4 linked regions of the Saccharomyces cerevisiae S288C genome follow. The gene in region 1 interacts genetically with each later gene. Each region holds a gene or a part of one and is shown on either strand. Other genes may lie near its edges.

Evidence for each region.
Region 2: of FPS1 (region 1) and ASK10, extra expression of one rescues a mutant of the other (dosage rescue), as found in Saccharomyces cerevisiae (3 studies listed by BioGRID, with this or other methods).
Region 3: mutations in FPS1 (region 1) and ARO1 together harm fitness more than expected from each alone (negative genetic interaction), as found in Saccharomyces cerevisiae (3 studies listed by BioGRID).
Region 4: mutations in FPS1 (region 1) and SAP155 together harm fitness more than expected from each alone (negative genetic interaction), as found in Saccharomyces cerevisiae (2 studies listed by BioGRID).

Annotation. Positions count from the first base shown.
Region 1 is NC_001144.5:47,027-53,178, reverse strand, and holds FPS1 (Fps1p), read right to left. Parts: upstream 3,242-6,152; coding exon 1,232-3,241; downstream 1-1,231. Other genes in the region: succinate dehydrogenase iron-sulfur protein subunit SDH2, read left to right, coding at 1-48; ATG10 (E2-like conjugating enzyme), read left to right, coding at 589-1,092; 60S ribosomal protein eL8 RPL8B, read left to right, coding at 4,550-5,320; RNP1 (Rnp1p), read left to right, coding at 5,716-6,152. UniProt on the Saccharomyces cerevisiae protein: Channel protein for glycerol. Has a role in both glycerol influx and efflux. Plays a role in osmoregulation: under osmotic stress the channel is apparently closed to allow accumulation of glycerol in the cell under hyperosmotic conditions.
Region 2 is NC_001139.9:675,504-683,416, reverse strand, and holds ASK10 (Ask10p), read right to left. Parts: upstream 4,723-7,913; coding exon 1,282-4,722; downstream 1-1,281. Other genes in the region: ESP1 (separase), read left to right, coding at 1-851; thiamine transporter TPC1, read right to left, coding at 5,852-6,796; exosome non-catalytic core subunit RRP46, read left to right, coding at 7,075-7,746. UniProt on the Saccharomyces cerevisiae protein: Positive regulator of FPS1 glycerol channel required for the glycerol efflux. As a component of the RNA polymerase II holoenzyme, is required for SSN8 destruction in response to oxidative stress but not heat shock.
Region 3 is NC_001136.10:701,700-710,825, reverse strand, and holds ARO1 (pentafunctional protein ARO1p), read right to left. Parts: upstream 6,343-9,126; coding exon 1,576-6,342; downstream 1-1,575. Other genes in the region: MTC5 (Mtc5p), read right to left, coding at 1-1,277; palmitoyltransferase SWF1, read right to left, coding at 6,582-7,592; ECM18 (alpha/beta hydrolase family protein), read left to right, coding at 8,068-9,126. UniProt on the Saccharomyces cerevisiae protein: The AROM polypeptide catalyzes 5 consecutive enzymatic reactions in prechorismate polyaromatic amino acid biosynthesis.
Region 4 is NC_001138.5:231,466-238,774, reverse strand, and holds SAP155 (Sap155p), read right to left. Parts: upstream 4,534-7,309; coding exon 1,525-4,533; downstream 1-1,524. Other genes in the region: KEG1 (Keg1p), read right to left, coding at 1-317; ERJ5 (Erj5p), read left to right, coding at 520-1,407; OSW7 (Osw7p), read left to right, coding at 5,231-6,763; IRC5 (putative ATPase), read right to left, coding at 6,834-7,309. UniProt on the Saccharomyces cerevisiae protein: Positive regulator of protein phosphatase SIT4. Involved in directing expression of TOR-repressed genes and in dephosphorylation of NPR1 in response to nutrient starvation. Negatively modulates K(+) efflux of the cell by the Na(+)-K(+)/H(+) antiporter NHA1.

The sequences.
Region 1 (6,152 bases):
CCTGGTTTGGCTATTGCTGAAATTAAGAAATCTTTGGCATTTGCCTAGACTATCAGAAAAACAGCTAGCCCCGAAGAACTCAGAAGCCTCTCAAATGATTTTGGCACTAATAAAAGCACCAACTATTATTATTATTATTTTCAAGGACGAAACTCACCATTCTCACACATTCCTATACGTTAGGCGTTTATGTTTACTCTCTATGACTATTATTTATTTATCATTGGCAATGCTATGACCCGGTCTGTATATATGTCCATCATAGGCGACAAGGTGTTCTAGTATCTTCAGGTATTGTTGTTTTTAAGGATGAATTTATATCTTTGTTTTTGAAGGGCCTTTTGGCTTCTCTCCCCTATTTATTCAATTTATAACTATTTATTATATTAATACACGCGTAATGCTTAAGGTTTATTATTAAAGGACTGTTTTTATATTTACATGCCTGTAGTTAATTATATTTTCGTTGTGAAATTTCTGTTAAGAAACTCTATATGAAAGGTAACGAACTTAAAATTGAAAAGCAATGAGAAGAGAACACCATGAAAAAAAAAAAAAAAGGGCTAAAAAACAGAATTATCAGACTTGATGATTCCTTACCAGGAGTGGCATAGCCAACTGCAATCGTTGTATGACTCCCAGATTTTCCATAACTGGGCCCTTTGCCAAGATGTCCATTTGAATGATGAAAAGGATGGACTTCTTTTGCGTTTAATACCTACTCGACAACTGCAGAAAAATACTGAGCGTATAGAAAATAAATTACTAAATCATATAGAATTATATCTTACATATTCAAAAGTATATAACGAGCCCTTACTACTTTTGCGAATATGGGAGGAGAAAAGCATAGATGGTATTCCAATGACCAAATTGATGCTCCCAACTGATATCGAATCGCTGCTTGATGTTCAAGGCAAATTCCAACTAGGTTTGGATACTATCATTAACCTGGAAGGTAGCGTTTGGTATTCTTTCCATCCATGCGATACATCATGTATAGTAGGTGACCAGGCTGAGTTCATGTCAACTTACTTAAGACGATGGGTCAGTATTTTCATATTTAGTTGGTTAGGTTATGAAGATTCATAGCTTAACCTAGGAAAGCTTTTTAAAACACTATGCAATCATCTATGTAAATATATATATATATATATATTATACCGGCGGTAGTAAGCAGTATTTTTTTCTATCAGTCTATATTATTTGTTTCTTTTTCTTGTCTGTTTTCTCATGTTACCTTCTTAGCATTACCATAATGCGAATCTTCTGATGATGTGTCGGATAACCCAATAGAATCAGTCGTCGTCGCACCTAGCGAAGCAGTTTCAATGGAATCTTCTTCTTCAAGAATTGTTGGTATACCACCAAACGTTCTTTTGCCGCGCTGAACAGATTTAAATTGCACTTTCTTTTCTCCTGCTTCATTTTCGTTGTCTGAAATAGATGACTTGGTCTTTGTCTTTTGAAGAGCCATTCTTTCTCCAAATTCCTCATCATCATCGTTATTGTATGAGAAGTCACTCAGGTCCGATGTTCTTCTTGCTCTATTTCTCTTCTTCCAACCAGGCCTTCTAAACCAGGCTCTCATAATCATTTCCTTATAAACTGGTAAAGACCAGTTGACTGGAGATTCATGACCCTGATAAATACAGACATCGTAAACCAACCCCCCCATTAACGCACCAATAAATGGGCCTACCATGGGAACCCAAAAGAAATGATGATGATGCACCCAAAGCATTTTATGATCAAATCCAACTGCATATAGTGCAAGACGTGGGCCCAGATCACGAGCCAAATTCATTGCTGTACCTGTCTGATAAGCCATGGAAGCATTGATAATGAAAATCAAAATAAACATCATCAATGGGAAAACATCAGAGGACAAACACGTATAAGGATCGGTCAGCGCAAATGTTCCTGCTTGTAACATAGCTCCACATAAAAATTCGGAAAAAAATTGCCGTCCTGAACTTAGATAAGGCTTTGGAAAAACGCAAAACATTCCCGCAACACTTTCATTCATCCACCAATCGCTATATGCCTCTTGTAACACCCTTTTGTACCAAATAAACAAGATCAAAGCGCCTGTGAAGGCACCGATCAATTGTCCAGCAAAGTAATAAGGAACTTTCTTCAGGGGAAAACCTCTATACACCAAATTGGCTAATGTAATAGACGGATTCAAATGAGCACCTGAGATGGCACTACCACCAGCGCAGAAATAGCCCATCACCACGGCAGCAGCCCAGCCCAATGCCACATCATCAAAGGTACCGCCCGCAACGGATGAAACCAAGGATGTTAAACTCTTCATAGCGTCTATCGTTTCTGCAGAAGACCCGGTAACGTTAAGGTTATCCAAAGCCACGTTGAAATTGTCCTGCTGTATTTTCCCAGCAACATTGACCTGACAAACAACAGCACTACCGAAAATAATCATAACCATTGTTCCCATAAACTCGGCTAAAAATTCCTTCAAATAAGTGTTTTTGACGGAAGACCATTTATTAATTGGATGGTATGTGGAGGGCAAGACTGTAGGTGTTTGAGGGTTCTGGTATAATGTCTTTGGCTTCACCATAATGGGGACGTTACGTGGTGATTCATTGCTTTCCATATTAGTTTGGGCACCAGTAGTCCTGCCATTCGTGGCGCCTGTATTGGCACTGTGCCCAGCATTACTCGTAGCCCTCGACCTACTTCTCCTTCTCGATAAATGTGACTCCGGGATGGTATGCGCATCGTCTGCATTTTTGTAAAAATCTTCAATGTTAAGCACGTTGGCCGACACTGTGGTCTGCCCTCTAGGCCTGAATGCTCTATTACTGCTTGCACTCGGCGGACCGTTATCTTTATGGTTTATATCTTGTGTGTTAATGTATGCGCTAGGAATAACCTCTTGAATCGGGAAAGCAGTCCCACTTTCTACAGAATATTGTGGAACATACGTGGGAGTAGGCCGCGCACTTTGCGGAGAAGGTCTATAATCTTGCATTTCATAATCATAGTCGTCATCATTTCCCCCATCGTTGCCGTTGTTGTTGTTGTTACTGTTATTATTATTATTATTATTGTTATTATTGTTGTTAGTACCACCAGAGTGATGATGTGAAGGTTGTGATGAAGAGCGTCCTTCGTCGGATGACTGCTTATTAGATTGTTTCCTAGAACTATCATGTGTATGAACAGATTCACTGGACAGAAAGTCGTTTAGAGCTTTTTGAGGATTACTCATGTCTTTTAATGCATTAGAATGTACCCTCGAGCGTACTTGGTAAAATAATAAAGAAGAACAACCGACGCTTATTGGGACAATAGGCGTTATACTTTGTTGATTTTTTAATCCACTTCCTGTTTTTCTTGGTGGAAAAAGTGCAATATATCTTGTTTTATCTTTTCCGCAAAAAGGGCCGGGCAATCTTGCCGTCTCCGGATTCACACTGTTCCCCGCTTTTAACTACTGAATTGCGCCTTCTCACTATGAGATCTGATCGAAAATAGAGGAAGCTACAGAAGATACCTTTGTTGGACGGCACATTAAAGAAACATCTCTGAAGCATTTTAACATATATGGATCCGTCTTTCTTTCTTCTGCTAAGGGACGGTATTACACGACATATATTGTCAAGCGCAACAGAACTAATTGACTTTAGGACGAGAATAATATAACTTTATGACACTCTGCTCTCCTACTACTTCTTATGCCGTAACTCTCTCCGTCCCTCAGTCCGTTGCTGCCTTTTTCTTGCGATGGAAGGCCCGTATCAGAATGCCCTTGACAATGTTCTCATGATAATGTAAGTATTCCTTCCTAAATAAAAGCATCAGCCGCGTTATCCCGCTACCGGGTTTTATTGTTTACGGAGAAAGCAATAACAGCATTTTTTTTGGTGTTCTTCGACTATCAACAAATAACCGCCGAAGCGCCTTGCGGAGGATAACCACCAACGAACTCAAATACCTACCGCGTACCTTCCTACGGTTATGTACTTTTGCACTGCTATTGCTTTGAGATGCTATGAGAACTGCCGTCAAAATTGGGTGGCAAAGAGGGATAGCTTCACTGCCAATCACTACACTCTGTTCTGAAGGAGGGGAATTACTGTTGTCTCATAAAAAAACACCTTTGAAACACTTTCACTCATAGAGAAGCCAAGAACTCTGATGAGTTCTTTATTTGTTGCCGCTAACTTTATCTTATCTTCTCCATTGTAATAATTACTATTCTTTTTACTTGCCTGTTTTCCATCCCAATGAAGATCCGTACATCTTAGACACCCTTTTCTTTTTTTCTTTTTTTTTTTTTTTTTTTTTTTTGGCTTCCGAAGTGCCGACAACTAAAGAATTATCGCATTTTTTTTGAATACATCATACTATACGATAGAACGCATTGAAACTTTTCCCATCTCAAAATCCAGGGACAATAGTATGGGATCGATATTATTATCAAGACATAAGTATTGTGATGCGCACGTTGAAATTCACTATTTTTTTTTTTTATATCTGTTTTTCAATACAGTGAACACGATAACTGAAAGAAAAGATGGCTCCAGGTAAGAAAGTTGCTCCAGCTCCATTCGGTGCTAAGTCCACTAAGTCTAACAAGGCTAAGAACCCATTGACTCACTCTACTCCAAAGAACTTCGGTATTGGCCAAGCTGTCCAACCAAAGAGAAACTTGTCCAGATACGTCAAATGGCCAGAATATGTCAGATTGCAAAGACAAAAGAAGATCTTGTCCATCAGATTGAAGGTTCCTCCAACCATTGCTCAATTCCAATACACTTTGGACAGAAACACCGCTGCTGAAACCTTCAAGTTGTTCAACAAGTACAGACCAGAAACCGCTGCTGAAAAGAAGGAAAGATTGACCAAGGAAGCTGCCGCTATCGCTGAAGGTAAGTCTAAGCAAGACGCTTCTCCAAAGCCATACGCTGTTAAGTACGGTTTGAACCATGTTGTCTCTTTGATTGAAAACAAGAAGGCCAAGTTGGTTTTGATTGCTAACGACGTCGACCCAATTGAATTGGTTGTTTTCCTACCAGCTTTGTGTAAGAAGATGGGTGTTCCATACGCCATTATCAAGGGTAAGGCTAGATTGGGTACTTTGGTTAACCAAAAGACTTCTGCTGTTGCCGCTTTGACCGAAGTCAGAGCCGAAGACGAAGCTGCTTTGGCTAAGTTGGTTTCCACCATTGACGCTAACTTCGCTGACAAATACGATGAAGTCAAGAAGCACTGGGGCGGTGGTATCCTTGGTAACAAGGCTCAAGCTAAGATGGACAAGAGAGCTAAGACTTCCGACTCCGCTTAAATTCATATATAGAATTTCGAACATCGTAATATAATTATATTTTGTATACTTACTTAATTCCCGTTTTCTTTTGTATGAATTTTTGAAAAATAATAGAGCAACATTATACTTTTAAGCGCGGCACTAGTTCATCAATGTCGGGTTTTGCCAAGCAAAACTAATTGGGGCAGCTATTTATATTTGAAAGAATCAGCGTCACTGTCGACGATACAACAAATAGCCGCCGAAGTTCCTGTAAGCAAATATAAAAACTAAAAACTCTTTTGTTCTTTTCTCTTGTTCCTTCTCACTTCCTTTTCATTCATACATACGTTCAAATCAATGGAAATAGGGCATCTTCCCAAGTAATCTTGAAAAAATTAAGAAGAAAGAAACTTTTAAGAAAAGAATAGGCAATGCTAATAGAGGAGATAGAGTTTTATAACGTCAACGGAAAAAAAACAACAACAGTTGTTCCTGAAAATACAAAAATAAAAAAAAGAGTACTAAATGATAGGAGGACATTATATGTCGGCAATCTTCCTAAAAACTGCCGTAAACAGGACTTGAGAGATTTGTTTGAGCCAAATTATGGTAAGATAACAATAAATATGCTAAAGAAAAAGCCACTCAAGAAACCGCTGAAAAGGTTTGCATTTATAGAATTTCAAGAGGGTGTGAATCTGAAAAAAGTGAAAGAGAAGATGAACGGTAAAATTTTTATGAATGAAAAAATTGTTATTGAAAACATCTTAACAAAAGAGGAAAAAAGTTTTGAAAAAAACCAGAAATCAAACAAGAAAACTGCTCCTGATCTCAAGCCACTATCCACAAATACTCTCTATGTGAAAAA
Region 2 (7,913 bases), on another chromosome or scaffold:
TTCTTGATATTCTTCTCTTCCATGGTGAAGAAAATGCTTACGACGAAATTGATTTCAGCATGCTTCACGTGCAGTTAGAAGAGCAAATAAAGAAATATAGGGCAACTATGACAACTAATAGTATATTTCATACATTTTTAGTCGTTAGCAGTTCATGCCATTTATTCCCTTGGGAGTGTCTTTCATTTTTGAAAGATTTGTCTATCACACGTGTTCCGTCCTATGTTTGTCTGAATAAACTTTTATCGCGTTTCCATTACCAACTACCCCTTCAAGTAACTATTGAGGACAACATTAGTATGATATTAAATCCGAACGGAGATTTGTCCAGGACTGAATCTAAATTCAAGGGTATGTTCCAAAAAATAATCGATGCAAAACCTTCCTCTCAATTAGTGATGAACGAGAAGCCGGAAGAGGAAACACTTTTGAAAATGCTGCAAAATTCTAACTTATTCGTTTATATAGGGCATGGCGGAGGTGAACAATATGTAAGGAGTAAGGAGATTAAGAAATGCACCAAAATTGCCCCCAGCTTTTTACTGGGCTGCTCTTCAGCAGCGATGAAATATTACGGCAAGTTAGAACCTACTGGAACAATCTATACTTATTTGCTGGGAGGATGCCCTATGGTACTAGGTAATCTGTGGGATGTAACTGACAAAGATATTGATAAATTTAGCGAGGAACTTTTTGAAAAGATGGGATTTCGCTGTAATACTGACGATTTGAATGGTAATAGCCTATCTGTTTCATATGCCGTCTCTAAATCTAGAGGTGTATGCCATCTACGTTACTTGAACGGCGCAGCTCCTGTTATTTATGGGTTACCGATCAAGTTCGTATCATAATTGTTACATGTACTGGCTGTTTCGAAAAGATTTCATATAGGCATTGAGAAAAAGCATGGGAAATCCGATTTTGTTCTTATATCCAAAAATAATAAGTAAAAGAACCTGGGATTGATAAAAAAGTTTCATCTTTTTAGTATAGTTCATAATAGTAATTTTCATTTCATTATTGGGCACCTCATGGTGCGATACAAATATTTTAAGATTGCTTATATAATCACGAACACCTTTACGTACCATCCCAAACTACCACACAGTTGTTAGTTCACATACCATTGACACAAAGTCATAGCAGGAATTAAAAACACGAAACATCTATATTCTATAGGAGTTGCATTATAAAAATATGAATAAAAAACGGTGCTTAGAAAATAAACGGCGAACCATACAGGCTGTTTCTCAAAAGAGAACAAAAGTTAAGGCGTAACAATTAAGAATAAATCGACTGGTTTAGCTTTATAGTATCATTATTAGTTGAATCACCATCATCTTCTTGAATTCCACCACTCATAAATTGGTTAGTCATTAGATTACCACCGTGATTTGCACCCTTTTTTGAAAACATTAAACTATTCAAAGAACTAAATGATACGTTTTTCTTGTGCTTTCGGATAGGATGCACCCTAGAAGCTGTTGAACTAGAGGTAGTCAAATTTTGGGCGCTATTATTGCCCCGTTTATAGAAAGCAGGGTGCGCATGAGTCTTTTCAGCAGTCAAACAAGGAACATTGCCTGTGCTGTTCGTTTTCTTTAAGGTTTGGTATGGTGATTCGCGGTTGATCGTTGTGACGGACGAATTCATGGTAGGTGAAGAAGGTGCTGTAGCAGACTGATCGGCAGCAACAGTTTTAACATTTTGGTTATTGACCATCACCTTAGGTACAACGGGAGCGTTCGCTGTAATTGAATTACCTGCAGATGTACTTCTCATCGCTGTGACATTAACACTTGAACTTGAAGTTCTTGATAAAGGTTGCATTTGTAAAGGTTGCTGTTGTTGTCGTATTTGGTCGTCATTATAACATGGGCTAGAGCCTTCAGAGTTTCTCTGGGTGTAATTATTATTGTTGTTGTTCCCATGAAGCGGAATGGCAAAATAACCGCCTGAGCTGGATTCTGAATTAGAGCTACCTGGAGAATTCACTGGTAGGGATAGGGATGTGTATGAAAATCCAGGTAGGGAACTTGTTTGTGAAATATTTCTTTGGTGGCGCAAATTAGTTGTTGGATTAGTATTATTATTTGCTGTTGATTGTTGGAGCATCATCCCATTACTCGTTATTGATACAGCCGGGTTATACCCATTATACATGCTTTGAGGTCTTGAGCCCGATGAATAAGAAGGAGTTGTGTTACCTGAAGTGGCCATGTAGTCAGAGTATTGGTGCGGAGATTGTGCAGGTCTTCTTTCCACCGTAATCAAATTGCCATAATCGTCAATAGCAGGTGTATTAACCTTGGATCTAAAACCATTTCCATCAAAATCTGCTAGTGAATTGTTCTGAATATGAATATACTGAGGTTTCTCCGCCCTGCCCTTTAGGTTGACGGACGTCGTAGTACCGTCTTGTAATGTGAATGTGCTATCTGTTAAACAAGGTGTATGGGAACCTATGTTCACGCTGTTTCTTGACATATGTCCCGCCTTGAATCGGTGTGATTTCATCACACGGTCTTCGATAAACTTAATTCTATCTTTAGTGTCATTGAAGCTCGTTAAATTTTTCAAATCTTGGACCCAACGTTTAAAATGTTTCAATTCCTCTTCAGAAGGCTCTGGAGATACTATTTTAAAGGTCCAAGTCACATAATTGTTCGATTCCTTTTGAGCTGCAGCGTAAAATTGGTCCAGTTCACTTGATTTCGTATTCTTATTTTTGGGCTTACTTCCCTTCAAAAACTTGTGGAATGGGGCTTTTGAAAATATTTTTGCAGTCTCGTGGCCATATTTTGGTAAAGACGCTTGTGAAGAGCCAGATAAATAAGTGCTAGAGCTAGATTTTCTAACATCAGCGTTTTCATTAAGAGTGGGTTTACCTACAAGAACAAATTTGGTGGAAGATGCATCCTTTAAGGTACAATCATTTAGCGGAATACTCATAATCGGTGCCAAATAGCTCTTTTTGCGAATACCGCGAATACCATTTGCACCAGCTGTACCACCAGTTGTCGTACTGCTGTTATGTACATCACTAGCCTGGCGATGATGATTGTTAGCTTTGGCATTATTAGCATTGGCATAAGTGTCTGCAATGGAAACGGAAGAAGAATAAGCTGAAGACTTCGTGGAGTTAGGGGTAGAAGAAGATAGGTTATAAAAATCGCTACTCTGGAATTCATGAATATAGTTTGATGTTAGAACAAAATATCCTTGGTGGTAAGTGGGCAACAATTCCGATTTCTTCAAAAAATAACCTGCCTTAATACACTTGGCCAGTGGGGATTTCATGTGGGGATAAATAACGTCGGAAACTTTTCTTGGTGGTGGTATAGGATCGTTGGATTTCCAATTGAGTAGACAGGACGGATGCTGTGTGACAAAATTATCCCATTCAAATGCAGGAGGCTTTGATATTATACCATGTTGTAGTTCTTGGCACATATTTTTGATCATTAGACGAGCTTCGGAGTCAATTAAAGCAGAATAACGCAACAAAGCATGCTGGATTTTGGTGTATATAATTTTTTCTAATTGCAAACCTGAACTCTGTAAATTGATGAACGCTTCTTGCAAGTAAGTTTCTTCGGCAACTTGACGTTTGAGTTGTAAGTCTAGTTGCAGTTTCAAAAGATATGGATCATGTTTTGGATCCAATTTATGTGGCTTCTTATTAGTAGGAGATGCTCTATCGTTGCCAATACCATGCGCGTTCATGAATTTTACAGCTGCGATGTATTTTTTCAATAGTTGACTTGTTAGCTGAATATGTGCTCCGATGTTTGTTTTGAAATCACCATGAAGGTCCTTAATTTCCGTAATTTTATATCTTAAATCTTTTCTCAATTCCTCCAATTTAGGAATGACGGTGGACGTAATCTCTTTAGAGATCTTAAATTGCTGGTTAGCCAACGAAAGATGGTACTTCTTCAAAATGACCTGGATGTCTTGAATCGAGCCTGAACCGAACTTAACAAAACCGGATGCGGCAGATGTATTGTCCGACTCTGTGGTCTGGACAGGCTTGTATTCATGAGGCGCCAAACTCATTTTACTTTCATCTGTGGGAGCCTGCACTGCATTTTCCTGCTGTTCCTGTTGCATTTGCATCTGAAATTGTTCGCTGTCAGTCAGGCCAACTTTCTTCTGCGCAGGCTGCGCTTTCTTAGGGCCTCTAGGAGCCGTTGTGAATGGATCCGTAATGGTATTTGTGGTTTCATCAATATCAGTCAAAAATGGAAATTTCACAGATCCTTTCAGTTGGTAATTGATCCGTGCGAACTGTTCTTGCGCATACGCGACTTCCCTCAAGTAAATCACTAACCCTTTCAGAATTTTTTTCCATTTATAAAACCTGTCTACAAGGATGTCGGTGGGATACTCCTTAACAAACTGCCCATCGATAGCTTCATCACCTGCAAGGGGCTTCTTCGTTTCCGTAGTAGAGGTTGGCTGAGCCTTTGGTATAGGGACGTTTATGAAGTAGGGAGATCTCTCATCTGTTTCAGGCAAAATAAACTCCTTTGCCTGATTGTTTGCCACTATGGAGGAAACACTTTCGTTCAAGGTCATCGAATCAGGTAAGATGTCCATCAAGTACTGCGAGCTCTTCGAGTGGATGGAGGAGGCGTCATCGCCGCCACCACCGCCAGATGGCTTATTGCCCATCGGCGTGAGCGTTTGCGAAGGTCTGGAACTAAAGTAATCAGACATTAGTTTGAGCCCAGTTTTGTCCTATTTCTAATGCACTCTCGTTGTGTTTGGTAGAAGAGGTGTTAAAAAACAGAAATTTTCGGTCGTTATAGTATAGATAGTTTAGTTTGTAACTACGCTGTCTTTCCTTATTCTTGTACGCTTCGCCCTAGTTCCTGTGAAAAAAGCTTTCTGTAGTAGCGTTATTTTTAGATTTCAAGATAGGAGAAGAATGGTTATTTTCGACAATGAAGATGAAGAAGGGCAGCGCTGTTTGAAGGGAAAGGGAATGCAAGACTAGGAAATATGGATTCAGCTAGCACATTTATGAGTAAGGGGAGGTGTTATTCAGTGCAAAAACTAGTGAAAAAAAAAAATAGGAAAAAAGATAAAGAGATGACAGAAAGCTAAACGCTTACAAGAAAAATGATGGATCGTAAACACGCAATCCAACAAATCGGCGGTGATGGTGATGATGAATCATCTCCGGAGGTTTGAAACTTAGAATCTGACATTTTTTCCCGCTTATTTTTGCGATTTTTTTTTTTGGTAGGATCAGGCGAGGTTGAACATCTCCCACGTTTCTCATTTCTTGGCTATTAAGGAGCCAAGAAATGAGAAAAGGCGAAAAAAAAAAAAAAAAAAGAAAAAAAAAAGTGTAAGTATGCCACATCTAAGAAGGGTGGCTACCACAAGGGTGCAGAGATTGCAGCAGTCCTTGCTTTCTTCAATTTTACTACTTCTTGTTACTCCTAGTCCGTGTGCTTGCGCAGATGTAAGTTGTGTTGAAACAACAAGCAGATGTAGTGGTCCCTGACGCTGGTTCCATCGGAAGATCCGATTCATTGTTTCCTTCTCTCCCTTCCCCGCTGACTGAGCGGAAAAAAAGATAAAAAAAAGAAGAAAAACCGGTGCGGGGCAGCAGGCAACTAAGAAAAACCGGAAAAAGGGTTGGCGTCAGATCGCTAGCAACGAGATTCCTCTTTTTTTTTCGATTTTTTGTTATTAGAGGAAGACGGCGCGACTGAGTCAGGCCGTAATCGGAATGGAAAACCGGGCGGCTACCGATCTTTGTCAGTGAAGAATATAAGATATGATGATTTCGTATATGTATATGAGTGTGTACATGTGACAAAAAAGATTGGAAACTTTAGTACATCCGCAAATAATGGATGGCAGTTTCATACCCCCAGAAACTCACAAAAGTGGTGGGTATTGTCTTGGAAAGGGCCACCAGAATACCTCTGTAAAGCGAACTCACACCTTCTTGTTTCAAAATCTGTAAACCGATTCTTGCGAATCCGTACCCTTTATAAGAACCGTATACAGACGAATGACGGGAGAACTTTTCCAGATGCTTCGAATTCATGAACTGCATTCGCCTACGGATCGTTTCGAGGGGGAAAGTAATGATCTTAGCAATGACGCCGCCAATGGTACCAGCGCTGTGATTTAAAGTAGCCAGTTCCCATTTTTTATGCGCGGCGGTCGTTTTTTCGTTTTCGTCACAGTATATCCTGATTGTTTCGTATGTTCCGAACATTATAGATGCGGTTAGAGTTATGGTTGTCATTGACGCGATGGAGCCCTTGAAAAATCCGGGGAGACCTTCTAGTTTCCAGATATCACGCACTTCTCTCGTGATGCTCATTGAGTGCATCTGGTTGTTGGCAACTAGTCGGGTCCGTAAAACATCGAACGGGTAGGAAACGATGGAACTGGTTATGCCAGCAAAGGCTCCGACAACAAGACTATGTAAGCGCGCCTCTAGTCCAAATGGAGTTAAATATCTATTAAAAAGGGAGTATGAACTAAACTGCGCTGAGCCATAGGTAACGTACAGCAAAGAACCGGGTATGTTACCCTTCCAAAAGGACCGGATGCCTTCGTTCTTTATCATGCTTCTGGCCACCTCCATGACCTGACTTCCGAAGGGCTTCAGCCCATTTGCAGGGGTCAATTGCAATCTGATCTTAATGGTATCCATGGGAGCAGTTATGCTACGGGCAAGCAGCCCGGATACGGCGCCAGCCAACAAAGTTTTCCACGCGGCCACATTTTGCCCTTTTCTTAACGAGTCCTCCTCTTTGAACATATCAACATTTATGTACTTTGAATGGTTTATATAAAGCTCCAGACTATGCCAAGTTAAAGGTGACAAAATAGCGCCTTTTCTTCATAAAGACTATTATGTACCTCTCTTTTTCTTTTTACTACTTTTTTTTTCCTTTTAAGCGCATCGGATTGTGGAAAAAAGAGTGGAAAATTTGTTAGATGAACCAGTTAAGATGCATAAAATATCTCTGCATATATGGTAATAACAAGGAGCCCAATACCAAGAATAGATTAGATTCTGCTGAAAAAAAAAAAAAAATGAGCGTCCAAGCAGAAATAGGGATATTAGATCATGTAGATGGTTCATCTGAATTCGTATCACAAGACACCAAGGTTATTTGTTCTGTAACAGGCCCTATTGAACCAAAAGCAAGACAAGAACTGCCTACACAATTAGCATTAGAAATTATTGTACGTCCCGCGAAAGGGGTGGCCACAACAAGAGAGAAGGTACTCGAAGATAAATTACGGGCAGTTCTGACCCCACTCATCACTCGTCATTGTTACCCAAGACAGCTCTGCCAGATAACTTGTCAAATTCTGGAATCTGGTGAAGATGAAGCCGAATTCTCCCTGAGAGAGCTAAGTTGTTGTATAAATGCGGCATTTTTGGCTTTAGTTGATGCAGGAATTGCCTTAAATAGTATGTGCGCAAGCATCCCTATTGCAATAATCAAAGACACTAGTGATATCATTGTCGATCCCACTGCCGAGCAATTGAAGATTTCGCTCTCTGTCCACACTTTAGCTCTGGAGTTCGTCAATGGCGGTAAAGTCGTGAAAAACGTTTTATTGTTAGACAGCAATGGTGATTTTAATGAAGATCAATTGTTCAGTTTACTGGAGCTGGGTGAGCAAAAGTGTCAAGAACTTGTCACAAATATAAGAAGAATAATACAGGACAATATATCACCTCGTCTAGTTGTATAGCCATTATAGATTATAATATACCACAACATGCTATGTCGTATGCCGGAGACTACCTCTTATATTTGGAAATAGTTATTATTCAATGTTCTAAAATTCTTAACATTTTCGTTGTTACATATACATAGCATATATATATATATATATTACATTAATTTTTATCTACCTTC
Region 3 (9,126 bases), on another chromosome or scaffold:
TTTGTCTCATTGAATAAATCCTCTTGTGAAGTTGCGCTATTCATTCTAATTCCTGAGAGCCATGTTATGTGGTTTGTCTTGTTTTTCTTCAATCCAGAAGTTGTCACAAAGTTTTCTCGTAAACGCCTAAACTCATTCTTTTGAACATTTTCCCTATTTTCAGGTTCCTTATTGTATGAGCAATAATCATAATCTGGTAGTTTCTCCTCAAGTCTCTTGCCTCTGTCAAAGTTAACTTTCCCATAAATACTATCAGAAATTGGCCATAGTTTTAAATCGCAGTCTTTGGACCAAGTAACCAATTGAAATTCACGATCGTCGTAATCCCCATCGCACGTATGTCTTGATCTCCAAAGAAAGTCAATTACTCGGTCACTATGCCCTTTAAATGCATATATTGGCTGGAGTTTCGTCTTCTTATTTTGTTCACTGTCATCATCGTCGCATAGATTAATCAGATAAACTGCGTTATTGCCTCCAACCATTGGCATAATACAATAACCTTCTCCAAAAGGAAGGTAACGTCCTCTCCAGATTGGAAAATTTGTTGTTACAGTTCTCTTTGATTCTGTCGTACTTTTTGAATAATCCCAAAACTTCACCGTCCCATCGTTCGAACTCGACATAATTTCAGAATATTTGAACCGGTTAAAATCTATGCTATTTACGGAGCTTACATGGCCTTTCAAAGAACAGAGGGGAGTGGAGCCTTTTCTCAAATCCCACACAAATATATCATTTCCATGTGAAGATGCCAAGACGTTAGGATCCTTGTAATTCCACTTCACTTGAGAAGCAGCAGATCTCCATGAACTTGTCGAATAAAATGGTCTATGTGGACTTCTCATATCCCAAGCATGTACATACGTATCGACTGAACAGGTAGCTAAAACATCCGGATGTTGCGGATTGAAGTTTATATCTGTAATTGCTCTTGAGTGCCCATGAAGTACAAACTCAATGGCATTTGATGAAGATTTTGCTAAGTTCCATATGATTGCCTTTTGATTCGATGTCGAGACTATCCAATATGGTTTTGCGGGATGTGGCGACCATTGTACATCAGCAACTTGCCAGGGCGTAATATGATGCAACCACCTTGGAGGTGTAAACGGATCATCCAGGTCGATAATATAAAGACCTTGCCGACTGGCCAAAACAATATCCCTACCAGAGGGATTGATAGATACGGCATTGAACCCACCATCTACTTTCAACGATAATGATTTTCCAAAAGTGGGCGAATTATACGGACCTTCATTTATACTACTGCACATAATTAATTCTTCAGTGAATAAACGGGCCAGAGGCGATTTCCCTCAAATATCTTACAATGTTTTTGAAAGTGGGGTGCTCAGCTGATTTGCATCTTTTGATGACCTACTCTGAGATGTTCTTCGACTACATCCCACAGAATGTAAGGGTAACTTGTAATTATCTAACTGTTGCAACTTAGTAAAAATATACAGAAATTCAACGTATGTAAGCAGTCACACTGACTATTTGGCAACTCATACTTAGTAAAGATATCATAGAAGCATTGTAAAATATAAAAAAGGATAGATATATTATTGTCTACTCTTTCGTAACGGCATCAAAAATGGCCTTGAAAGGGCCCTTGAATCCTGTCCACTTTTCAAACTGAGCTACACCTTGGTGTACTAACATTTGTGATCCAGGGACAACGTGCCATTGATATTTGTCTTGTGAAATTGTCATAACGGGAGTAACGCTTGGTTTGTATGCGGCTTCCAATAAGGTTGGTACAAAAGCAGCATGGGCACCTTTCACAAGGAATCTCTCCAGCTTACTTAAAAGTTCGTCATCTAATGGTTTGTCGGCTGGTACACAGCTGACAGCAACGCCAACGTGTTCCTTAATCTCTTCTATAGATTTAGTGGACTCTATTCCAATAATGTTGAATTCAGATGGAAGTGACTCTATTAATGGCTTCAATTTCGAAGTTGTCCTGTTGATTATGAAGATCTTTTTGCAACCTAAACTGTGCAAGGCGTAAAGGGCGGCTCTAGAAGTGCCACCTGCACCGATAACCAAACCAGCGGTATGACCAACATATTCGGGAACGCCATTGTTAATTAAGGCATTACGGATACCTAACCAGTCGGTATTATCACCCTTAAACTTCTTGTTACCCAATGGTATAACTGTGTTTACAGCACCAATAACTTTAGCAGCATCAGTCAATTCATCCATGTACTGCATTATATCTAATTTCAGAGGAATTGTGACTGCAGCACCGCCAAAGTTCTTGTTTCCGTCCAAAAGTTTTTCTTTCACCAATTGTGCGGATTCAGTTTCAAATTTATCGAACTTGTGAGGTAAACCTAAAATTTCATAGCCAGTGTTATGTAAAATTGGCGATCTAGAGTGGCCAATTGGCTTTCCAACAACAAACAGTTCCTTAGGCTCGATACCTCCCATAGATGTATACATCTTGTTAATTTGTGCTACTGTCAATTGGCCAGGGGCAGCGGAGTTAGGCAATAAATCTGATGTCACAGGTGTTAAAACATTATTCAAAACACGAGAAATGCTACCTTTAGAAGTCATATTAACTGCAATTAAAGGCTTATTCTTGTGTGTATCCCTAAAGTGTTCCAGTCTCAAATTATCTTCGAAATTAACAGCCGTACCCACAAATTTTACAACATCCACATCAAGAGTTAACGCTTGATTGAATCTGTTTTCCCATTCAGCGTCGTCCCAGGAGTATAATCCTTGGAAGTCATGATGGGAACCAATGATCTTGGTGTTGCCCCTTTTGTTAATAACCTCATATTGGATATCAGTAGGTAAAGTTAGTTCTAAGTCAAGGAATTCAACACCATTCTTCAAGGCAATATCGTATAGCTCTCTCAAGGTTTTGAACTCTTCATCAGGAAAGTTGCCACCTTGCTTCATGGTTCGCACAGTAAAAATGATAGGAATACTGTCAGTGGCTTTACGCAATATAGATAACTGTTTACTCACGAAATCAGCAGAGTAATTAGCCAAATGGTCTACTCTGACCTCTACAGCCTCACAACCATAACAGATTGGAGTCAAATTCTCAGTTTGTTCAGTTAAGTCATCAAAGGTTAAACACACAAAGGCAGATCTTCCGCTTGGAATTTCTATTTCTCTGACACCTGTAATGGTTGCAATGTACTTACTAAACGATCTTCTTAGAGCTTGGAACTCAGCTTCTGCGGAGCAATGAGGAGCAAAGAAAGAGAAATTTGAGCATTCTTTATACCACCCCTCCCTTCTGTTCCAAACTTCACGAATTTCTTCCACATAGGCAGGTCTTGAAGGATCACTTTGTAAAAAGACAATTGTCTCCTCAATATCCCTATGTAAGTGTAAAACGTATCCACCTGATGAGGCAAAATCTTTTAAGGCTTTTCTAGACTCAGCGCTTTCAACAATACCGCCACCTGTTGAGAAAACATATCCATCATCGCCGTAATTTTGAATAACTTCCTTGAAAATTCTTGTTTCTTCCTCACGGAACTTCTCCCAACCGTTCTCCACAACAAATTGTTTAACACTTTGATTGTTATGCTGTTGCTCAAACAGCTCGTCTAGGTCAACTAATTTGTAACCCAGAGCGGATGCGCACCATTTACTTATAGTAGTTTTGCCAGCTGCTCTCATGCCAATAATGACAACGCTTTTCTTTGAGTTCTTTTTGGATGTGCACTCTAAAGGTTCTGCACCATCTAATTTGGCACCTAGTTCGGAATGTAACACATCCCACCAGCCAGGCCAGGTTTTACCAGTACAATGTCTTTCAAGTATTCTTACAGGATTAGCAACTTCGTCACGTTCATTTTGAGAATTTACCATTCCTGCAAGAAGCGAGAAACTCATGGCCACACGATGATCATCATATGTGCATACACCGACAGGTCCAGAAGAGTCGGAAGGAACCTTCAAATCTTTTATCGAGTTTAAACCATGGACTTGAATACCATCTGGTAATTCTGTAGTTTTGACGCCAAATTTGGCGAGCTCTGTAGCCATGGCCAAAATTCTGTTACACTCTTTGACACGCTGGTTTGCAATACCTTCAATGGTGGTTGTATTTGCAGAATTTGGATCACTGTCGTGCGAAATAGCGGCAACAACACATGCAGTTAAGAACGCATCAGTCATTGGCTCCATATCAACATGTTTTAATGGCTTTAAAGTACCTACAGGAGGACCCGAAACAGTAGTTGAAGTTGCCGTTTGAGTTATTTTACAACCCATAGGTTTCAAGACATCTCTTGCAAATCTGGCATCACCTTGTAACGACTCAAAACCAATGTTTGGAACCGTTACGGTAGTACCAGTCATTGCGGCGAAGGCCAATGGGTATGTAGCACTTGAGGCATCACTTTCAATGACGTATTCTGATGGGTTAATATAATGTCCCTTTGGAATATAATAAGTGTAAGGTTCTGTAGTAGAAGTTTCAACATTGATACCGAATTTTTCCATCATTTTTATTGTCATATCGACGTACAATTTAGAGATTGGCTTACCACCAACAAGAGCCAAAGTTACAGGTTCTTCAGCGTATGGGGCACACATCAAGATAGAGGATACGTACTGAGAAGAAACTGTAGCAGCTAATTCAATTCTACCACCTTTGAATACCGAATCAGTATAAACTTTGATTGGCAGGGAACCTTCATTATTCAAGTACTCAATTTTAGTACCATTAGCACGCAAAGAATCGACCAAAGGAGCAATTGGTCTTTGTTGCATTCTTGCGTTACCAGTTAAAACGATATACTTTTGGCTTGAAGTAGAATTGACCAAGGCAGCCAAGGAAGTCAAAAATCTAGATGCAGTACCTGCATTACCTAGATATAAGGGGTCAGCACAAGCTGACAATGTGGAACCACCATGTCCTTCCACCACTACCGTCTCACCATTATCTTCCCATGATATCGTAGCACCTTTCAATTCATGAACAGCGGTTAACATATGTTTAGTATCATCAGAATGTAATAAGTTCTTGATTTTACATTGACCTTCACCGAGGGCAGCAAGAATTAAAGCACGATTGGAGATGGACTTAGAACCAGGGGGGATAACAACTTTCTGTTGATCAGCAGGGATGTCCTTGAAGGGGTAAACGAGGGTTTCATCTGTTAGAATAAATCTCAGGTCTTCATCGCTAACAAATTGAGCGGAGTCACCATAGCACTTACCAATACTTTCTAAAATGACCACCTTCTTTTTGGAACCCTCGTTTTTCTTGTCAATACTCATTTTCTTCAATAAGATATCCAATGGTGTTTTCTTATGTAAGGTTAGCTCTTTAAACCATTTCTCATCAGGCGAAACAGGCAACCCGTAGGCAACCAAAATCTTGGATAGACGTGCAACTTGGGTAGGGGAGAGAATACCGAAATAACGGGATAATTCCGCCTCTTTAACCATACCAATGGACACACATTCACCATGTAATGCTTGTGGGGTTAGTATAGCTTCATAAGCATGACCAATAGAATGTCCGAAGTTCAAAAGGTTTCTTAGACTGGATTCACGTTCATCCGAAGAGACAACTTCCGCTTTGACCTTAATACTCTCAAGAACTAACTTATATGTATGATCCAACATAGCTTCAATATCTGTATTCGATATCTCGTCAATCTCGTTTGTCAATTGATTGGTAACCTTGACATTTTTTGCCCCATTAACAACATTTAAGAACAACGAAGCGTTTGATTCTAATCTAGTAAATTCGTCAGCGTTCCAAATACAAGCAGTCTTGATAACTTCTGCCATCCCATTGATAAACTCTCTCTTGGCTAACGTTTCTAGCCATTTAATATCTACAAGGACAAATTTTGGTTGCCAAAATGCACCAATAAAGTTTTTACCTAGAGGAGTGTCAATAGCAGTTTTACCACCAATGGAGGAATCGACCATTGCCAATAAGGATGTTGGTACTTGGACAACACGAACACCTCTCATAAATGTAGATGCAACGAACCCAATCATGTCACCAATAACACCACCACCGATCGCTACCATAACCGTATCACGAGTACATCCTTCCACTAAAAGATAATCTTCTAGCTGCGCTTTGGTTTCTCTACTTTTACTTGTCTCACCTGGTTTAACAACATAAGTAAGTAAACGAGAGCCTTCTGGCAAAGAAGCCTTGAATTCCAGGACTAATTGCTGGTAGTATGGAACTTTACTCAAGTTCGTATCATTGCAAATAACGTATGTCGAAGAAGGACAATGTTTAATTATGGTTTCAACCAAATGGTCATGAATGTTATACCCAACGTGGATAATATCATTTCCTAGAATTGGGACTTTGGCTAACTGCACCATCGTAATATACAATTATCTTACGTAGGGATTTCTCAACTAGGAGATTATATAAACTTGAACGACCGAGTATAGCTGTGATCTGTTACTAATGGTTACGAGTCGGCGTCCTACCTTCTATATTAATAAACCGCTTGTATAATGAATTTGTTCGACATTTGCGGTTAGAATCTATGGCGGTGAGAAAAAACCGAGTGAAAAAAAATTTCATGTTCGGGATGAGTCATATGCATGACAATTTACTATATTAAATCTGTGAGATTGGCCAGGAAGGTACCTTTGTCATATATATTGGGAATTTCGGACGCGTCTTTAATCGTGATGTAGTGTGTAAGGTTGTAGTGCTTATGGTCGTAGGCATTCGTGCTATAAAACGTAACATGTTGATCTTGGAGTGGTTCAGCAGCGTCATCTTTTTGTTCTGTGCATTTGAAAAACCAAGATGGGCAATCATCATCCAATGATCTCACCAGTTTTCCTTCTCTCATATACTCTTGAATGGTATACCATTTATCTTGCTCATTTGTAGTCATTCCCTCCTTTACAATGGCCAATTGAAGATACGTGAAAATAGCGCAGATGATAGTGAAGCATCCACATAATATGGTAAGAGTCAGAACAGCTCTAGGGAGCGTACTTGTGCTATTTAAAGAAATGTACCACAGCCTTAGAAAGGCGTAGCACATCGAGAATATGTTGGAAATTAGGAAAAGGTAGAATTGAAGGTAGTTTCCCTTTCCGATGCAGTTATTTATCCAGATGCAATGATGGTCGGCGACGAGAACGCATCGGTTGCAAATGCTACAATGTTTGGATCTAGCAGGCTTGACGATCCGGCATGTCGAACACTTTATGGCAGGATAATACAATAGGTAATCATATGGATATTCCTCTGTCGAGCCTGATTTATGATCCTTTGAATCCTCAGCTCTGCTTACCATGGCTAGAATTCCTAATGCTACCGGCGGTAGTATAATTATAGGCACGATCAGTATTCGTTCTAAAAGGAATAGCTCATTCTTAATCGTAGACTCCACTCTCATGTGGTATGTATATACTAGGTACAGGTAAATAGAGGTGTAGAAAAGAGGTACTAAATGCAACTTCCAACGATATTTTTGGTCATCCACTAGGAAGGGCTGAAACACATTACGATAGAAAGTCGAAAATGGCCATGTTGACTTGAAGACGGGCGAAAGTAATATCAAAACTACGAATCCTATTAGCAGCACAAATAGTAGATTCCATGACATTGTTTGTTCTTTTCATGTTAGGAGACAAAGATATCTTCTTTGGAGGCATAATGAAGTTTTTTTTAGGAAGGCGGAAGTATATATACAATGACACTACCTTTGTTGATAGCTACGAATTTCCTAAAGAGAAAGTATATTGTAGTATTTATATGAGTTGCATAGTACGTTATTCAAGGATAAAATGCCGAATAAATGCTTTAGATGATTTAAAATTCTGTATCGGATGGTTTTAATTAAAAAGTTTCGTTGGAGGTTTTCACCTCATTTTTGAAAAATAAAAATTCAGACCAAAACATTAATTATTTTGGCTTTGAATATACTGACCTCCTGGAAAGCCCTTGGACATTACTAAAATTGAGACAACTGTTTCGATTCCAGCTTAGAACTCCACAGAGCTTCACATGTTTTACACCTCTATTTATATATTCTGACAGTTTCCTTATGCCTTTCCAGTTTAAGGATGAGCGAATGAAAAATGCTTTTAATAAAGAGGTACTTGATGGACCCTGAAAGTTTAAGGAGGCAGATAATGAATGTATATAAATGTTACATGTGGAAGAGAGCGTTCCACAGTAATAGAAGCCTACTGGAAGTTAAACGTCGTGAAAAGAGTCTCCAGAGAAAAATTTTGGAAAGGATTCTTAGACCCAAGGAGGAAAATGCTGTCAAAAAATCTGGATTCAAGCTATGGTCAAGCCATTTGAATAACCCACACAAAACTTATATGCGGCTGGAGGAATTACAGAGACGTATTATGGAAGAGGTACACGTTGAAGGTATTAAAAAGAATGATAAGTTATTCAACGAAATAAATCAATGGCATTTCCAAAATGAAAACACAAGTACTGTTCGAACACCAACATTGCTGATACATGGCTATGCCGCATCTTCAATGTCTTTTTTCAGAAATTATCCAGGTCTGTCCAAGCACATCCGAAATTTATACTCAATTGACATGCCAGCGAGCGGATTGTCTTCAGTACCGTCTTTAGAGATCAATACAACAACACCTCTGCCGTTAGATATCAAATTTATTGGAGAAAATAAATTTAAGGTTCCATATACAATAAATGCAAATCACAATAAATTTGTGATTCAAATGTACGAAGATTTCTATCTCGACAGAATCGAGCAATGGCGCATTGATAACAAATTGGGCAAAATGAATGTTGTGGGGCATTCTTTTGGCGGATATTTATCTTTTAAATATGCTGTTAAATATCCAAACTCGGTAAACAAACTTTGCTTGGTATCCCCACTAGGAGTGGAAAGGAATATCTGGTCTGTAAATAATAATTTCCACTCCAACACTCTTTATACTATCGATTTTAAAAATCCAAATTCCAAGTTTTACTCCAAAAGAAATATGATTCCAAAATACTTATTTGAACAACAATTTCACATTTTGAGAATGATGGGACCATTAGGAGCTAAGTTATGTTGGAATTACATAATGGCGGCATATAGCCGAGTCCCATCGTTGGCATACAAAGAGTACATATTTGAACTGTTTTACGGTAAGGGAGGTATACCG
Region 4 (7,309 bases), on another chromosome or scaffold:
TTCTTGAGGATCAATGCATGCTCATAATCGTCATAAAAATGGATCACGCTGACTAAATAGATAAAATTTAGGTCTTTCAAAAACGTTCTTGAAAGCAAACCATATTTGAACCCGTGGAATCTAAGCAACCAAATAACTTCCATGATGCTGGAATAAAACATCAAATATATCAAGAATTCGTGGATTCCTCCCGGTAAAAACCGAGACCCTACCAGTGGCATTAATATCAGCCACCGTATCAATAATGCAGCATACAAAAAGCTTGTGGCTAATTGATAATACTGATAAAGCTTATGCGTCAACTTGATACCTGCCATCCTCAATGCTAGTTAAATATATGTGACCGAACAAATACTTTTATTGACGTTGTATTTACATTATTTCCCAATTTGAAGGTAAATCATATTTAATTTCCATATTCAAAATTAATAATCACGAAAAAAATGAGATTTTCAAAATAACACGTACCAAAAGAATAGAAAACGAACAAAAAATCAAGGTTACAAGATCACTAAAAGAATGAACGGTTACTGGAAACCTGCGTTGGTTGTCCTGGGATTGGTATCTCTATCATATGCTTTTACCACCATTGAAACAGAAATTTTCCAATTACAAAATGAAATAAGTACGAAATATGGCCCAGATATGAACTTCTACAAGTTCTTGAAGTTACCTAAACTGCAGAATTCTAGTACAAAGGAGATTACAAAAAACTTAAGAAAGCTATCCAAGAAGTACCATCCGGATAAGAACCCTAAATACCGTAAATTGTATGAAAGGTTAAACCTCGCTACTCAAATTCTTTCAAACAGCTCTAATCGTAAGATTTATGATTATTATCTACAGAATGGCTTTCCAAACTATGATTTCCATAAGGGTGGTTTTTATTTTTCCAGAATGAAGCCTAAGACTTGGTTCCTGCTGGCCTTTATTTGGATAGTCGTTAATATTGGGCAGTATATCATTTCTATTATTCAATATCGTTCTCAAAGATCAAGAATTGAAAACTTCATCAGTCAGTGTAAACAACAGGATGATACCAATGGACTAGGCGTAAAACAACTAACGTTTAAACAACATGAAAAGGATGAGGGTAAAAGTTTGGTTGTAAGGTTTAGCGATGTCTATGTTGTAGAGCCTGATGGAAGTGAAACACTAATTTCGCCAGATACCTTGGATAAACCTTCAGTAAAGAACTGTTTGTTTTGGAGAATACCTGCTTCGGTTTGGAACATGACGTTTGGCAAATCTGTTGGTAGCGCAGGAAAAGAAGAAATAATAACGGATAGTAAAAAGTATGATGGTAACCAAACAAAAAAGGGGAACAAAGTAAAAAAGGGTTCTGCAAAGAAAGGCCAAAAGAAAATGGAATTGCCTAACGGTAAAGTGATCTATTCACGTAAATGATACGTAAGAAGTAATATTATCATGATGAATGAATGAATGAATAGAAAACTACATGGTACTTATACATATAAATTAATATATATATATACAAATTAAAGAAAAGTACAAAACAATGTATCATTCATGATCATAATCATTATCATTATCAGCATCTTCATTATAATTACGAGTATTATCATTGTCATTATCATTATTATCGTTATTATCGTTGTTATTACTATTATTACTATTATGGTTGGTATTGTTAATGTTACTATTACTGTTCTTGTCCTCCGGCGGCCCCAGTATGAAAACCCCATTTTCCGTGTTCTTATTATCAACGTCTTCTTGAGCCCTATTGATTAACATTTCCCTTAACTTGTTGTGTAAATCAGATTCTGTAGATAAGGACAACTGTTCTTCTAGAGACTCAACATTGATTAATTGGCCGCCACCACTTGTTCCATTACTACTCCCGGTATCTGAATCAAGGATTTCATTATTATTACTTGCATCACCATTTGGAGTTAATACAGTAGTATTGTCAGGCAGCTGCGGAATGATGTTACCATTTCCATCATCAATATAACTTCCACCGCCAAGAATTTTAGAGTACATCATTCTTGTTTCGTTTAAGACTTCTTCGGAGTAGTATTGCCATTCTTCGGTTTGTAAAATTACTTGAATATCGGGAGATATTAGTTCCACTTTGTACAATTTAGAAAATTTGACCACTTCTTCGGCAATCAAGACAATATGGCCCATATATCCCAAATTCATTTTCCTTAGCTCATAAAATTTATATGAATCCTGGTAGCCCCTTAATATGAAGTCTGTAGTTATTTTGAAATCAAAATTTGGGTCTCTAATAACGGGAGAAAATCGGGAAACATCCGTTCCTTTTTCATCTGATATGACGATATCAGTCATAAATTGATAGGAGCTCTTTAAGTTAAACAGAGACAAAACAAGGAAGGAATTATAGGAAAAATCCATTCTTCCATTGAAGATTTGCTGAATTATGTCGAATATAACATTATGCCAAAAATTGTTCCAAGGATGTGTTAAGAATAGTTCCATTATTTTGGAAACAATTCGCGTATCATATAGTTTGATTTTGAATAGGTCCCCGACCGTGGGGTCGGTCCTAAGTTTTATGTTTTGCTTCATATTGATGTATGGAATTTCGAAGCTCTCGTCTATTTCGTCGCCATAGTCACTTTCATCATCATTATCATTATTGTCGTTATCTATTTTACCGTTGTTATTTTTTAGGTCGTGATCAGTGTCACGTGTTGGAGAGTGCTTCGTTTTAAGTTGCTCCTTTTCTTCGATACTCAGATCGTTTAATGCATCTTGTAAATGATGGGATAACTGGCTCCTTACTTTATCTCTTCTTCTGGCTATTCTTTCTGCCCTTTTGGAATTCATTAATCCCATATTAGAGCAATGCAGTAACTCGGCGATTAATTCCACCACTTTGAATCTTTCAAATCCTAAAGGTTTAAATTTTTCGTGCAACTGATTTTCATGTAATGGGATGTTGGCGTCATTTTCAATATCTAGAATGATTTGGAAAAAATCGGACAAATGGTTTGAAAATTTCCGAAGTAGATAGCCTAAATATATTGGATCTCTATTTGAAGGTGGATGAGTCTTTATAGTAGTGGTTAAAAGATTAACTTGATCGTAGTCTGAATTGTTTTTCCTTATCAGCTCAATGACAATCGAAACTGTGGTATTTAATGCGGCACCTCTTTGGTTGATCATGATATCGACTAGCTTTGCAATGGATTCGGGAGATGCTAGCTGTCTCGTCAAGGAGTTTGGACCAATGGAAATATCATCCAAGGGTGCATTAGCAGAAATGGCAATCAGAGCCTTTAAGAAATCACCCACGCATGCTTGGATGTCAGCTGGGGACTCTTTGTTATTTAGAAAGCTTAAGCATTTGCTGATCAAGTTTTGATCATATACTAATTCAATTATTCCCGTGGGTGATTCAATCTTATCTGTGGATATTATTTTCAAGAAAAAATCCATCAATAGGGAAATATCAACATGCTTTAACATATCATCAACAAAGCTTCTCTCCGTTCGAATAAAATTTAAATATTGATCCTGCCTGGTTAACAACAGATTTTGGTTAATCTTTAAGAATATGGGTACCAAGGGAGAGTTTTCAGAATTGAAATTTGGCTGGTTGATGATAGACCAAATCTTGTTTAAGTATGATTGGTTTTTAACTAATGACTCGCTAATCAACCATATGTCTAAGGAAAAGATTTCAGATATTATGGTGGCCTTTGTCAAATAAGCAGATTCATCGTCCTCATTCGCATCGTCGTCGTCGTCATTGTTGTTGATATCATCGTTACCAAACGAGGAGCTTCCGCGTTTTCGTCTCTTCTTGTTATTGCTGTTATTATCGTCCTCTTTCTCCTCTTCTTGCTCCGTATCAGATTCCACATAAACGTCCTCTTGTGAGCTATCATCAAGCTGTTGCTGTTCTTGATAATCTATCAGGTTATTCAAATCCACTGTGGTGGCGGTTTTAATCTTCGAGATACATTCCATCAGTTGGTCGACCAGATATTCCATATTATTCACTTTCTTATTAGTTTTCTTATCAAAGAAAAATCCAAAGCAAATGAAGTCAAGTAGCGTCTTGTTTTGTCTCGATAATTCGTTCAGTAGCTCTGTCTCTACAAGCATTCTTTCAATAAAAGAGTTATCCAAATTCTTTGTGGTGACCATCATGGGAGCAGTAGCATTGCTGATATCCTCCTCATCTAAATCAGTTTTAGAAGTTGACCCAGAAGAAAAAGATGTAGTGGAAGATTCGCTAGAGTTCATGCTCCGTTCCTCTTCCTCTTTCTCATACCGTTCTTGCTGATCATCCTTCTCAAATCGACTCTTCTGATCTCCACGTGCCGTTTTCACTTCATCACCATGACTATACTCCTCCGGAATAGAATCTAGGGAGTCACTTGTACCTCGTTCCTGAACGTTGTTGAAAATAGCGGGAATGGCTTTACCAACGCTTGGGTTAATCCTTTCCAGTTCGTGTAGCACATGAAAATATTCATCTAGGATCTTATTAATATTAGAGTGATTAAGATTCTGTCCAAATGGCCAAAACGACATCTTTACTCTGGCTTGTTGTTTTCGTCTTTTTTTTCTTTTCTTTTGTAAAAACTGCTGCTCCAAAAATCAATAGAATGGGAACGGCAGAGACTATAGTCTAGGGAAGTAACGCTTGTGTCTTAATCGTGTTGAAATAAAATCAAAATGAAATAAAATCAAAATAATAAAAAAAGAGGAGGAAAAAAGGGGATAGTCACTCAAACCCACTATCTAGCTTTAGTCTCTCAGTCTTTTAACCGCTACTTGGAGAAAAAATACTGAATCCAATGGTCAAATAAGGCCTTTCTTCTAGTTGCTTTGGAGCGTATGATACCACGATACTGTTGGTTTTGGTTCTAATTGGCCACTTAAAATTATTTTTCTTTCTTTTTTTCTAGAGGAAGGGATAACCCTACTAAGACCTATTCTATAATTACCAGCCCTATAGTTGTCTTTCATTTTTTAGATAAATGCCCTCTTTAAAAATTAAATTAACCCTACTCATTTTGTTGTCATTTCGGCCCTTTTAAGCCACAATACAGGTATCATTTAACAGGAATTACATAATAGTACTTTAGAAGAGACTTGTATGGCATCGAGGCTTCCTTTTTGACTATTGGAAGATAGCATTTTTTTGGGTGTTGCTACTATCATATTTCTGTTACTGATTGACCTTTTCTTAACTAAGAAAAAGGTGGTTAGTTCTTTACTAAAAATCATGAAGGCCGTTTTCAAAGTAACGACTGCTTTGCTGGCTTGCGTGTTTATTGCAAGGTATCTGGTCTGTCAGCAAAATGGTCTGGGAAGCTTTGCCACAGATTTACAGCCCATTTGCCGGCATACTGAATTTTCAGTTGGCTCACTATTCGATTCTAAATTGGTTGAAGGTTCAGCGGTTTCTGACTATTTAGTTGGAAAGTACTCACAATCGATAAAACCACTGATTGAAAGATACCCCAACTCATCCTTGAAGAGAATTATGGGATATTTTTACCGCTTTTGGTACAATATTTTCTCTTTTCTAAGGCTAAATGAGCTCTGCTGTTCGCTACATTCCAAGTTGGGACCTTTATTAAATCATCTAAGGATTGCCTGGTACTATTTAAAGCCATATACAGACAATGTGAAGAATGTACTAGAGAATCCATTTAACTCCTCTACGGATTGGATGAAATACGGCTCCTTTAGCGCTGATGGCACGCTCACCAAACCCATTTTTGAGACAGACTCGGAAACAGAGGATTATGAGGATGATGAGAATGAAAATGAGGATGAGGATGAAGATGAGGATGAGGATGATGTCGGAATTGAGGATGAAAATAAAGAATACGAGTTCGATGGAGTACAGGATGGCCACGGGAACTCACAACTCGTCACTGCTGCTATTTTGCAGGATTTGTCAAAGATTATCATTGGTTCCAATAGCCATGCAGAATTGGAAACTTACGAGGCAGAATCATTAAAAATGGAATATGAAGCATGGATTAAGGCTATAGATTCGAAAATACACAGTGCGATGGCACTTTTGGATTCAGAGATACAGTCTGTGTTCGAGGCCGAGGTGCAAAATAAATCTATAGAAATCACTAGGAATCTTGATGACCTTAACACTACCGTTAATGAGCAATTAGTGTTTCTAGATTCAAAAATCAAAGATATTAATTGTACCTCTAAATTCGATCCTGTGCAAAATAAAATAAAGTATTTTGATGAATCGGGTCAAGTTGAACTGGAAGCTTACATTACCAAATCATCTATCACATCGATACTGAAGAATTATAAAATACATTTGTTAGACTTTGAAAAATCACTGTTTCATTCATTAGATTCTTTTCTTACCGAAATGGCTAAACTGGCAGAATCGATTCGTCTTGAAAACGTCGAAGTGTACGAAGAGTGGGGCGATGTAATGATAAGTCAATGGTCGCAAAGAATGGCATATATGGACGTCAGAGGTCTCCATTTGGAAGATCAATACGATCCTGCCTATATAGAAGAGAATCATTCCAACTGGCTCCGTTTCATGGAATTGAAAAAGAAAGTTATTTCTGAGAGGAACCGTCTGGTAAAACATGATCTGGATATGACTTTGATACTGGAATGGATTACTAAACTAAAAGCTGATTTCCAGAACACAAAAAATAATATTCAAGATACCTTTCTGCAACGAATGAATACTGCGGATACTTTATTCAAAAACCGTGAACTAAAGGAACAACTAGAGGAAGAATTTGTACGGCAAGAACATTGATCAATATATAGGTATGTATATGTACATATATACAAACATTTAATAAAAACAATATTGTATGATAACCAAGTTAAAGACCGGAGGTTGTTTCAAATAGCTTGACGTGCGGCAGATCTACGACTCTGTTGGCCTTGTACGCTTCAAGAGATCTGTTGGTCAATTCTTCAACCTCCTTATCAGTCAGTTGGCCCTCAGTAGCCTTATTTTCTTTCTGTCCCCCATTTTCAAAGCCTATATTGGATTCATCGCTCATTAAAAGCATAGATAACTCCTGGACTAAGTCCTTATTAGTGACATTAACACCCGCTTTGTTTGCCTTCAAAAAAGAACCTTCATTTAACGCCAATTTTTTCAGGTTATTGAATTTTCCCATCTGGATAACCATTCTTTCCAAATTTCGCTTATTGGCCGCTCTGGTCAATATAACATGTTCAATGGTGTTATCACAACACAACCTATATACTATAACCGGTGATTCTTGGCCAATACGGTGACACCTGTCCATGGCTTGTAAATCCACCTGTGGATTCCAATCACTATCAAACA